2 linked regions of the Schizosaccharomyces pombe genome follow. Each later gene encodes a partner of the first gene's protein in a complex. Each region holds a gene or a part of one and is shown in the gene's direction. Other genes may lie near its edges.

Evidence for each region. Proteins that work in one complex are often made in the same cells at the same time.
Region 2: mrp21 (region 1) and SPOM_SPBC16A3.14 share a complex: the UniProt entries of both Schizosaccharomyces pombe proteins name them as parts of the mitochondrial small ribosomal subunit.

What each region holds. Positions count from the first base shown.
Region 1 is NC_003423.3:614,495-621,463, reverse strand, and holds mrp21 (mitochondrial 37S ribosomal protein bS21m), read left to right. Parts: upstream 1-3,290; 5' UTR 3,291-3,325; coding exon 3,326-3,401; intron 3,402-3,495; coding exon 3,496-3,785; 3' UTR 3,786-4,273; downstream 4,274-6,969. Other genes in the region: ER uridine diphosphate-glucose transmembrane transporter Hut1, read left to right, coding at 1-829; U1 snRNP-associated protein Usp107, read right to left, coding at 925-1,155, 1,205-3,042, 3,092-3,110; its8 (pig-N family GPI synthesis protein), read left to right, coding at 4,998-5,148, 5,301-6,969. UniProt on the Schizosaccharomyces pombe protein: Component of the mitochondrial ribosome (mitoribosome), a dedicated translation machinery responsible for the synthesis of mitochondrial genome-encoded proteins, including at least some of the essential transmembrane subunits of the mitochondrial respiratory chain.
Region 2 is NC_003423.3:4,268,699-4,273,932, reverse strand, and holds SPOM_SPBC16A3.14 (mitochondrial ribosomal protein subunit S26), read left to right. Parts: upstream 1-1,900; 5' UTR 1,901-1,995; coding exon 1,996-2,802; 3' UTR 2,803-2,942; downstream 2,943-5,234. Other genes in the region: meu7 (alpha-amylase 4), read left to right, coding at 1-1,592; nda2 (tubulin alpha 1), read right to left, coding at 3,485-4,797, 4,888-4,942. UniProt on the Schizosaccharomyces pombe protein: Component of the mitochondrial ribosome (mitoribosome), a dedicated translation machinery responsible for the synthesis of mitochondrial genome-encoded proteins, including at least some of the essential transmembrane subunits of the mitochondrial respiratory chain.

The sequences.
Region 1 (6,969 bases):
AGCACAGTCCTTCATGACAGTCCTTTGTGGGTTGCTTTGGAACTGGTTTCATGGTGTTTCTGCTAGAGGCTTGCTAGAGCCTAAGTTTTTAGGATACTTTTCTAGTATTGCCATATCGGCTAGCTTAAGTTCTTACTTTGGATATGCAAGCATGTTTCATTTGTCTTATCCTACTGTTATTCTGGGAAAATCATGCAAGTTACTTCCAGTTATTGCTTTACATGTGTTCGTTTACAAACGAAAGTTTCCTCCTCACAAATACCTGATTGTTACAATGATTACAGCAGGTGTAAGTATCTTTAGTTATTTTCAAAACACTTCTTCCAAAGGTAAACATGCTGAGCATGATAGTCCTATTGGCTTACTGCTTTTATTTTTTAATTTGCTCATGGACGGAATTACTAATACTACTCAAGACAAGGTTTTTGGTAAATACAAATTATCAAGCGTTACCATGATGATTGCGGTCAACTTGGGTATCGCATGTTTAAATGGCCTGTATTTAATCTCTCCTTTTTGCAACCAGCAGCCTTTGTCTTTTATAAACAGACATCCAAGCATCCTTAAAGACATGTTGTTGTTTGCTTGCACAGGTTCTGTCGGTCAATTATTCATTTTCTTCACCCTTGAAAAATTTGGAAGCATAACGCTCGTTACCATTACACTTACAAGAAAAATTTTCACCATGCTTCTTAGTGTTTTTCATTTTCATCACACTGTATCTTCGATTCAGTGGCTTGGTATTTTATTGGTCTTTTTGGGAATCTCCCTAGAAGCCGGCCTCAAAATACTAAACAACAATTCTACTGCGAAAAAAAAGGCATCATAGGTTTGCCTTTATTTTTTTAAAAAAATTTCTTATAAATACATATTACAAACTTTTAATCGTCACCATTAAATAAAAACTTTACCCAAATATGTACGTTATGCTTCAGAACGTAAAATCAGTAGTACATGCAAGTATCGGTATACTTTGCTAACAAACTCTGGAGCATCTTCAGCGAGAGCAAGGTCCAATTCAGACACTAACTGTTCCGCACCTTTATGTTGCCTGATATGATCAATGGTAAATGTGATAAGTGAATCCTCTTGAATACCGATATACTCGATAATTTTCTTGGTAACAAAAGCTTGCATTTCTTCTTTTAGAAGATCCTATAATGTGTTAGTTTAGATACATATAAAAGTTGAAAAAATCACAAACCTCAGTAACCTTGCTCCAGTCAATTGGTAGTGCCCACAGACTTTCTGCTTCAACAGGTATCTTTTCAATAAGTGAACGAAGTCTTTTCGTCTTCTCGGCATCATTTTCTTCCATAGCAGGCTTTGGTTTTTGAGGGTTGGGAGAATAGCCTTGCGGTTCTTCGTCTTCTTCTTCCAAAAGCAGTCTCTCCGGAAGTCCAAATTCTCGTCTTTCAGAAGGAACAGCTGGTTTCTTGGTTTGTATTTTGATTTTGAAGGGACCATTTTCATGTTGAGGCATTTCACTAGTCACCAGCTTACCATTTTCGACATAATTCTCTGTCTCAACGGTTGCACCTTCTCCACGGGTACGTAGTTCTCTTTCTTCCTCCTTTCTGTCAAGAGCATCTGCGTCTTCTTCTCGAGCACGAGCAACTGCACGATGTCTAATCCAAGCAGCACGATCGACAAAATATTCGTCTCGAGATACGCGAGCTTCCTCATCGTCATCAAAAGAAGCTAATTTTTCCGAAAGATAAGTACCAAAGGAAGTGTTATTAACACGTTCTTCTTCTTCACGAGCAGCTTCTCGTTCTAAAGCTGCAGTTCGGGCCTTTTCACGATTCATCCAGCGCCGTTCCCTTGCGTAATACTCTTCAGCCTCCAATTGATCCTTCCTTCTCTTCTCTTCATAATAAGCTTGTTCATCGGAGAACGACTCGGGAATGCTATCTTCTGCTCTTAAAAAGGCATTGACTGTAGACATAGGGATACGTGAAATACGATGTTTTGACAAAAGGTTTTGTAAATCATCATTTTGCTTTCGAAGCTTTTCTTGTTCTTTTCGTGTATACTCTTTATATAAACTGGCATACTCGTCCTTAGACCTTTGTTTTTCTCGTTTTTTCATAGCAGATTGATCGCGAAAGGATCGTATTTCTTCTTCAATAACCGGTAATAATTCAGGATTAATTCCTTCTAAATCAGCAGCATTAATGGGAATTTCCGAAGTTTTGACATTTTGTAGTAATTTTTCGTTTTTCTCTCGGGCCTGTCGAGCTGCCCTTTCAATGCGAGAACGGACATCAAAATTGCCTATATCTTGACAAATTCTTTCGAGGTTAAAGCGAATTTGCTGTAAAATGTTTATCTCTTTCTGCTTATTTCTTGCATAACGACTCGTTTGCCATTCACGATACAATCCCTCATTCTCAACATCTGTAATCAATGACAAGCGAGTTGAAGGACCACCTTCGTACAAAGGTGGAACAACAAAATCATTTAATGCTTCTAATGCTCTACTGAATTGTTCATTTGATTCAAACTCTGCAAATCCAAACGAAGTCATCGAGTTATCTGCATCAGCAACCCTTCGCCAAGAAGCCAGCTTCCCGGACAATCGAAGAATTTTATCCATCCAAAAATCATCCAATTCTTTCGGTATATTACCAATAAAGAGCATCCGCCGCATTTGTTGACTATTTGGAGGGACAAACGGCCGCGATTCCCTTTCTGTTGTAGACTTCTCTGAAGAAGGTGTTTGAAACGTCTGTTTCTCCTGAATCTCATTACTTTTTTGATTTCGGGGTAAGTTTTTTCTATCTTTTTGTTGCGATTCATTATCTCTTAAAACTTGTTTTATGGGAAGTTTACCAAACTTCAGAATTGGCTGCGAAAAATCATAGGGACTACTTGCCTCAACAGGATTATCTACCAAAAAAGCGCCTTGGCCATACAATTTTTTGTATAAGCTCCTGTAATCAGGAGGTAAAGGGGCGAATACAGGTTGGATTGGGACGACATATGGAACGCCGTTGCCAACCATAGGAACCTGTGGCATCATTGGCATACCGGCAGCCTCTAAATAAAATTAGATAAATTCTTTAGCAATGAAATTGAAATTACTTACGCGTATTCTGCCGCTGCATAGTTGTTGGAGGAAAACAGATTCATGTGTATCATGTAAAGGTATATAGTGAAGTGTAAATGTGATTATCCTATTTTTAGTTTATGAATTTTATGTCTTTTACGCTAATGCAAAAAATCGATGTTCAAGGCAATTTAACGAATTCTTTATGCAGTTGTACTGCGGTGAGATTCAGGCTTCTCAAATTGCCAAGAAAACGCAAAATAACTATTTAAAATGAACAGTTCTTATTTCCCAGGTGTTCTAGGGGTCAGATGGGTACATACAAATAGGAAATTGCAAAAGAGAAAAGGTACGAAGAAAATCCATTGAAGTTGCTATTGTCTTTCAAGAATATGATTTTCGATTGTTGGATTATTGTCTGCTAATACTTTATTGATATTTAGAGGAGCATGGTGCGTTCCAAGATTCGCTTCATTTTATGATACCCGCAGCAGAAACAAAAGATTTAGGTGCAAGTGTGACAGTTGGAAATAGTCTAACAAGAGCATTTCGACAAGTTGATAGAATATGTCAAAGGAATAATGTGCCAAGGCTATTCCGTTCACAGAGATTTTATGAAAAACCATCCGAAAAGCGATCCCGCGTTCGTTCAGAAAGACACAGGGCAAGGTTCCGCGCTGGAATTGTTCGACTTGTAAACTTAGCAAAGAACATGCGTCGTTGGGGTTATTGAGTGATTCTTCGAACATTTCATTCTATTTCTTGGTTACGAAAATCCATATTAAATTAATGTATTTGGAGATCGTTGTTCTCATAGCTTTTCATTTAAGACGAGAATGCTCGAAAACCCCCTTTTGAAGTAAAATAATATATTGCTTTTTACTTCTCCGCGGATTTAAGAGCTAGACATTTTTGGGAAATATTCGTTTTTTGTTTTGTCATTTCTAAATTTTTCCTGGTATCTTTGCTTAACCCCTCCCCTATCTTATGATTTTCTACTTAACAGGATTTATTGTCTAATAACTGTCTCTACCTTCTTTTATCTTTTCAGTTTGACAATACTGCGAGATTGAGCTTAATGTTTGCATTACCCTCTAATATTACTATTCTGTTTTGCTAGCCTATAACAATTTTCTTAGTTAAATCGATGAGTTTGTTACTCTATTTATTCAAACTAATGCTGGTCGCAGGAAGTTATTACTTCTGCATGTTATAATAAATGAATTCGTTTCCTTTCGTATTGCAAATGATTTTTTTATTATTGGCCATGTAGCAGCAATTTGATGGTTGTATCCCTTTATCTTATTATAATCGTCATGAGTAAACCGACTCTCAACGTGTAACAACCAAATATGCTTACCGCTGAATTTTCATTAATCTTGGATTTGAGCAATGAAATGATAACCATCCATTTTACATTTCTGTCAACGGAAATTAAAATAATACCGAAAATATCCATTTACAGAATCATTTTTTGCTTAATTACCAGATGACTATAAGTCCCATTATTGTGCACTGCATACCATAAAGTAATTTATCACTTCCTTAATAGATTTCTGATTATTTACTCTTTCATCCAGCTAGAACTAATTACGCATATTGGCCATAGCTCACAATATACGATGGAGCGCTACCACTATTCATTAGTGCATTCAAACACGGCATCCTTAATTACAAAACTCAGTATACATTCATTAGCGTTCGCTTATTCATTAGATCGAGCGTAGATCATCTGAATTTTAACCAATGGTAGATTAAAGGGGACTTCTGTTGATGTTTGTAACGACTCAACACTCAAACGCACTTCACCAGAACAAAACACTTCTTGCCTTGTTTAGGGCATCCTTCTTTTCCAAGAAGCGTCCTGGCATCTATCCAATTTTTGCCAAAAACCCCTAGTATTCCCAGTCAATTGTGGTAGTGGTTTCACGCTTAAATTTTCGCAATGTTTGGTCGCCTCTTGCTGTTAGGGATTTTATTCCATGTCGTCTTTCTCAAATCCATTTTTGATATCTATTTCGTAACTCCTCTAATACATGGCATGAAGCAGTATTCTGCAGGCGAAGCTCCTGCTAAACGCCTATTTCTAATTGTTGGTAAGTAAACATTTGTAATAGTGAAATTAGTGTATAGAGCTTAATGAAAAAAATGTCATATTTTCGTTTTGGATTTAGAAAAAAAAACAAGAAATAGTACAACTTTTTTCTTGTCCTTCTTTTTCTTATTTTACTAACCAATATGCTTATAGGCGATGGACTACGTCCTGATAAACTATTACAACCACATTCCGAAAAGGTCATTGGAGAAGAGCAGACATATGCCGCTCCATTTTTAAGATCAATTATTCAGAATAACGGTACTTTCGGTGTTTCTCATACTCGTGTTCCCACCGAGTCACGCCCCGGACATGTTGCTCTAATAGCTGGTTTTTACGAAGATGTTTCAGCCGTCACAAAAGGCTGGAAAAAAAATCCAGTAAATTTCGATTCTGTGTTTAATCAGAGTCGGCATACTTATTCGTTTGGATCCGAAGATATTTTGCCTATGTTTAGTGAAGGTGCATCTGATCCATCTCGAGTTGATACATTCATGTATTCTTCTGAATTGGAGGATTTCTCTAGCAACGGAATTGTTCTTGACGAATGGGTTTTTGATAGGCTAGATGAACTTCTCGCTCAGTCTTTAGAGGATAAGGAACTTTGGGATATGTTGCATCGGGATAAAATAGTATTCTTCCTTCATTTACTGGGCATTGACACAATTGGCCATAATAAACACCCTGACTCAGTTGAATATGTCGAAAACATACAGTATATAGATGGAAAAATTCAAGAACTCGTTGATAAGATGAACAACTACTACAATAACGACGGAGCCTCTAGCTGGGTTTTTACAGCAGACCATGGTATGAGTGACTTTGGAAGTCATGGTGATGGCAACCTTGATAATACACGTACTCCCATCATTGCCTGGGGTGCTGGTATTCAAAGTCCTACTCATGAGAAGAATTATGGGCATGACGAGTATTCTTTGCCATGGAATTTGACGGAGATAAAACGTATTGATATACAACAAGCAGATATTGCAGCTTTAATGTCTTACCTTGTCGGTTTAAATTTTCCTGTGAATTCCGTGGGTCAAATACCCTTGGATTATCTTGATTGCTCTTCTCGCCGCAAAGCTGAGGTTGCCTTAATGAATGCTTTAGAAATTGGTGAACAATATAATTTAAAGTCTGCCTCAAAGGATCAAACTAGTATTTTCTTTCGCCCATATTCTCCTTTGAGGAACTATACAGAGGTACAAGCATCCTTTTACAACTCAGTTATTGCTGACATAGAATCTGGTGAATATGAAATTGCTATTGAGCATTGTTTCCACTTTAGCCAAACGGTTCTTTCTGGACTACGTTACCTACAACGTTACGATTGGCTTCTTCTTCGATCTATTGTTTTCTTTGGTTATTTGAGTTGGATTGGATATGTCATATGCTTTGTCTTCAGCTTAAACATAGAACCATCCTCCAAAATAGTAAAGCCTGTTTCCGTCGTCAAGAGAGTCGCATTTAATATTCCTTTTTTGTTAATTTGCATCTTTTTTTATATCCAGTCTAGTCCACCATTTTATTATGGGTATGCTCTTTTCCCAACCATATTTCTGCAACTCATTCATTCAATTTTCCCAAATACCAAACTTGGTTTCAAAAATTTTTTAACAGTTGCAAAGCAAAAGCATGGGTTTTCTCTATTAAAAATTTTGTTTATTTCGTTGTGTATTCTCTGTCTGTTACAATTTATCGTTTACAGTTATTTTCACCGCGAAGGATTTTCCGTAATTTTAATGGGATTGGCCGCATGGCCATGGCTCCTTCATGCGGATTATGCTTTTTCTCACAAAACTATATCAGTCTCGTGGTC
Region 2 (5,234 bases), 3.7 Mb from region 1:
CCAAGCCTGACCATAAACCCTGGAAGCACGAGGAACACTGCTCATGCCATCATGATAAGTTCCCTCGTCCAGTTCCTCATAATGGAACCAAGCCTGATCATAAACCCTGGAAGCACGAGGAACACTGCCATCACGGTAAGTTTCCCCGTCCAATTCCTCACAATGGAACCAAGCCTGACCATAAACCCTGGAAGCACGAGGAACACTGCCATCACGGTAGGTTCCCTCGTCCAGTTCCCCACAATGGAACCAAGCCCGATCACAAGCCATGGAAGCACGAGGAACACTGCTCATGCCATCATGATAAGTTCTCTCGCCCAGTTCCTCATAATGGAACCAAGCCTGACCACAAACCTTGGAAGCACGAGGAACACTGCCACCATGGTAAGTTCCTTCGTCCAGTTCCTCACAATGTAACCAAGCCTGACCATAAACCCTGGAAGCACGAGGAACACTGCCATCACGGTAAGTTCCCTCGTCCAGTTCCCCACAATGGAACCAAGCCCGATCACAAGCCTTGGAAGCACGAGGAACACTGCTCTTGCCATGAAGACCATTCAGTTCATGAGCGTCCTAGTGCTAAAGGGGCTCTCGAGGACTATATTCAAACATTTGTAGAAACTTTCCAAATTGATGGTATTCGTTTCGATGCTATGGGTGACAAATATAGAAAGTACTGGCCAGATTTTTGCAAAGCTGCTGGAGTGTTTTGCATGGGTGACTTGAAATCTTCCGACTCTTTAAAAGTTTGTGATTGGCAAAACGACTTGGAAGGGTTGAGTAACTTCCCTGTTAGAGAATCTGCTGTAAAAGCATTTTTGATGAATAATCCAGAGGGAATTGTTGATCTTGCCGACAAAATGACTGACATGCGCGGTTTGTGTGTCAATCCCCTATTGTTAGGAAACTTCGTTGAGAACAAAGACCTTCCTAGAATGGCTTCAATTTCTAGTGATCCAGCCACCTTAAAGAATGCAATTGCTTTTGTTCTTATGGGAGATGGTATTCCTATGATGTACAACGGCCAAGAACTTGCCATGCGCGGTGAAGAGGTTCCTTATAATCGACCTGCAATTTGGGAGAAAGGTTTCCCAAAAAGAAATCCTTACTATAAGTTCACGTCTACAATCAATCGTTTCCGCAAAGCTATGATTGAAAGCAAAGACGGAGAAGCTTTCTTAAATATGCAGTCGGATATTAGCATCGTTGATAAAAGAATATTGCTTTTACGACGTGGCAAAGTAATAACCGTACTCAACAACTTAGGTTCATATTACATTCATTTCCATTATACTGTTTCGGCAGAAGAGCACAAGTGGATGGACGTATTATCTTGCAAGTCCGTTCCAGTACAAGATAATCGACAGGTATTTATGGTACGCAACGGTGAACCCATGATCTTGTACCCAGAGGAATCGGCTTATGAGATGGGATTGTGCCCATCTCCAATTCAGCTTACTGAAGATTATAACAGTGAAGGTTCTCTCTCCATTAACGTTGAAGAAGCCCAAACATCAAAGGCACCAGAGCAAAATCGAGGATTTACCAATGTCCTCGCCGCTCTTTTATTATCTTTGTTAATGATTTTGTAGGTATACGTTCCTTGAAATCTAATAATATACAGATTTTTTATTTTACATAAACCTTTTTCATATAAAGTATGATGACTTAGTTTACAGACCCATAGGGCTCTGTACTGAAGTTCATGAACGATAAGTCACCTCAATATAAATAATAGACGGGTAAATCCATTTTAATTTTTGGCTTTAAATTACAAAGTACTCAAGTAAAGCTTTAGCCAAAAAAATTTAAACTCCCATAATGATATCCGACGCAAACCGTCCAAACGTATTCATAATTGCGGTGGTGTGGCTAACTTGTATTTGACACAAGGCGAGCTGCGATACCCAAACACGTCCAGTTCCCTTAAATACTTCGTTGTTGGTTTATATAGGTATTTCAGCAAGTTATACCTAATATTCAGATAATTTGCTTATGCTCAACACAGGTCTACGAAAAGGGCTTGCGCTTTCACCGATAACTCACCTTCTGAAACGATGTAGTTCAGTTACAGACAATGTGCATCGAGTAAACTATTGCTACAATTACCACACAGTTCCTAATCTTTCACAAAGAAATTTGCTACCACTTTTCAGTCCTGAAGCTCTTGACATTGCCTGGGACCAGCATCAACGTCAAGTAGTAAAAGAATTAAATGATCGAGTGAAGGGAACAGAACTTGAGGATTCATCTGTGTTTAACATTATCTTTCAAACAGCCGCTTTGCCTGAGCATGCAGCCACATTCCAGTTTGCAAGTCAAGCTTACAACAATCATTTCTTTTTTCAAAGCTTGATCGGAAAAAGAGCTGCAGATGCCAAAAAAAACTCAAAATATGAAGCTAATGCCGCTATCAATAAAGCAGTCAATGAAAACTTTGGTTCTAAAGAAAATTTACTTTCTAAAATTCATGAGCTTGCCTCAAATAGTTTTGGAGCATGTTGGCTTTGGATTGTAATTGATGATTATAATAGATTAAACTTACTGAGAACTTTTCAAGCAGGTTCTCCGTATCTTTGGACTAGATGGCAATCAAATGATCCCCATCTTATTTCTAGTGTGCCAGATTATAGTGCCAGACCTCGAAAATATGCGCATGTTCCCATTTTAAACCTTTGTTTATGGAATCATGCATATTATAAAGATTACGGTCTTTTAAATCGCTCAAGATACATCGACACATGGTTTGATTGCATAGATTGGTCTGTCATTGAGGAAAGATTGACTAATTCTTTGGTATGAAAGAAAGGTGCAATCAATTTAGATAATTATATCTCATCACAATCTTGTTATGATTTTAAAAAAACGCCTTTTTCTACTTTCACCTTATAAATTTCATTCTAATTTTAATAAAAATTGTGTTTTCTCTACTCGTCCTTGAAACTTCTACAGTAGACTGTTTTGGCTCATGCTCGTATTCTAAATGATTTTAGGCTAATTCCGAGCAATCGAGTCATATAAGTTAAGTAATTTATTAACCAATTAACCGATTTATTGCTTAGAGGTTGAGATTAAAAACATTTTTTTTGTAAAGCTAGAAAAGCGCCAATACACAATGTAATTTACAGTTTATAGTGTCTCTTTTTCATGCAAAATTAAAAAAAAAAGATACCACAGAAAGGAGAAATTGAAATTTTACTGGTGGTTTATTTGCAAAGATAGAGTGGATTAGATTGATATCTAAATGAGAATTGACTAGTAAAGAAAAAGAATGTTCAAGTTAAAAAATCAGTGAGATAAGTGGACGAGCAATTTATCTCCTTGCCGCTGGGTGAACATTTTAACTCTCAAAGAAAGACAGACACCCTTTAGTTATTTGACCACAGGGCTGAATAAACAAAGATTAAAGAGACAAGGGTAGATGCAAGATATCTTCAAGTTATAAAACGAATGAAATAACGTATAAAAGCGATTATTGGATAAATTAATACTCTTCGTCAGCTTCGTACATTTCGTTATCCATAGAATCTTGACCAACCTCTTCGTAATCCCTTTCTAAGGCAGCCAAATCTTCTCTGGCTTCTGAAAATTCACCTTCTTCCATACCTTCACCGACATACCAATGAACAAAAGCACGCTTGCTGTACATAAGGTCAAACTTGTGGTCCAGACGAGACCAAGCTTCAGCAATCGAGGTGGTATTTGAAAGCATACAAACAGCACGATTTACCTTAGCGATTCCACTACCAGGAACGTGTTGGGGTGGCTCATAGCAAATACCGATTTTGAAACCAGTAGGGCACCAATCAACAAATTGGATGGTGCGACGAGATTTAATGCTAGTAACGGCAGCCTGGACATCACGTGGGATAACATCACCACGATACAAAAGACAAGTAGCCATATAGCGGCCAGTTCGTGGATCACATTTTACCATTTGATTATAAGGCTCAAAGCACTGATTCGTAATCTCTTGTACGCTGTTGGATTCATGGAATGCTTTAGCTGCACTGACAATAGGAGAATAAGTGACTAAAGGAAAGTGAATACGAGGGTATGGCACAAGATTAGTTTGAAACTCATTTAAGTCAACATTTAAGCTACCAGCAAATCGAAGAGAAGCGGTGATAGAAGAGACAACTTGAGCAATAAGGCGGTTGAGGTTTTCATAGGTTGGACGCTCAATGTCAAGATTTCGGCGACAGATATCGTAACAAGCCTCATTATCAACCATAAAGGTACAGTCAGAGTTATCGAGAGTAGCATGGGTAGTGAGCACAGAGTTGTAAGGTTCAACAACGGATGTGCTCACTTGAGGGGCGGGATAAACAGAAAATTGGAGGTTAGATTTCTTTCCGTATTCCATGTTCAAGCGCTCCAGAAGTAAAGCACCCAAACCCGAGCCGGTACCACCACCAAAAGAATGAAATACAAGGAAACCTTGGAGACCAGAACAATTGTCAGCCATACGACGTATCCTTTCTAATACACTATCAATCATTTCCTTTCCTACAGTATAATGTCCACGGGCGTAATTGTTAGAAGCATCTTCCTTACCAGTTACCATCTGTTCAGGATGAAACAGATCTTTATACGGTCCAGTACGAACTTGATCAATAACGTTAGGCTCAAGATCAACATAGATACTTCTAGGTACGAATTTTCCTTGCCCGGTTTCAGAAAAAAATGTACCGAATCCATCATTTAAATAGCTATTGTTTTTGTGAACTTCGGAGTTTTCTGTAGGAAAACCGTCGGGTCCTATGCCATGCTCCAAACAGTACAACTCCCAGCATGCTAGAAATGTTAGCTAAATTTTTTATGAAAAAATCGATTGCCAACTATTTAGAGTATACAGCAATACAAAAAGATGGATATTGAACATACCGTTACCGATTTGAACACCTGCTTGTCCAACATGAACAGAAATTACTTCTCTCATAATTTGTGATAATAACGAATGTAAATGCAACTAAACGCGCTACACAAGACGTTTTGGTTGCAAACTTAGGTTGTTTGTCAAGGGAGAGCGTAGGTACTCCAAGTCATGAGTAGGAAATAACGAAAAACGAATGAACTCGTAAAGCACTAAGGAGGGAAGTTTATGCAATGAGGTTCCAAAACTCATACCATGCAAATAACATAATGTTTTATAAAGAAGTAATATAAGTAGTATTCATTAATATTCTTGCAATGATCAATTTTCGAATTTTTCTGTACTGTACGGATTGAAG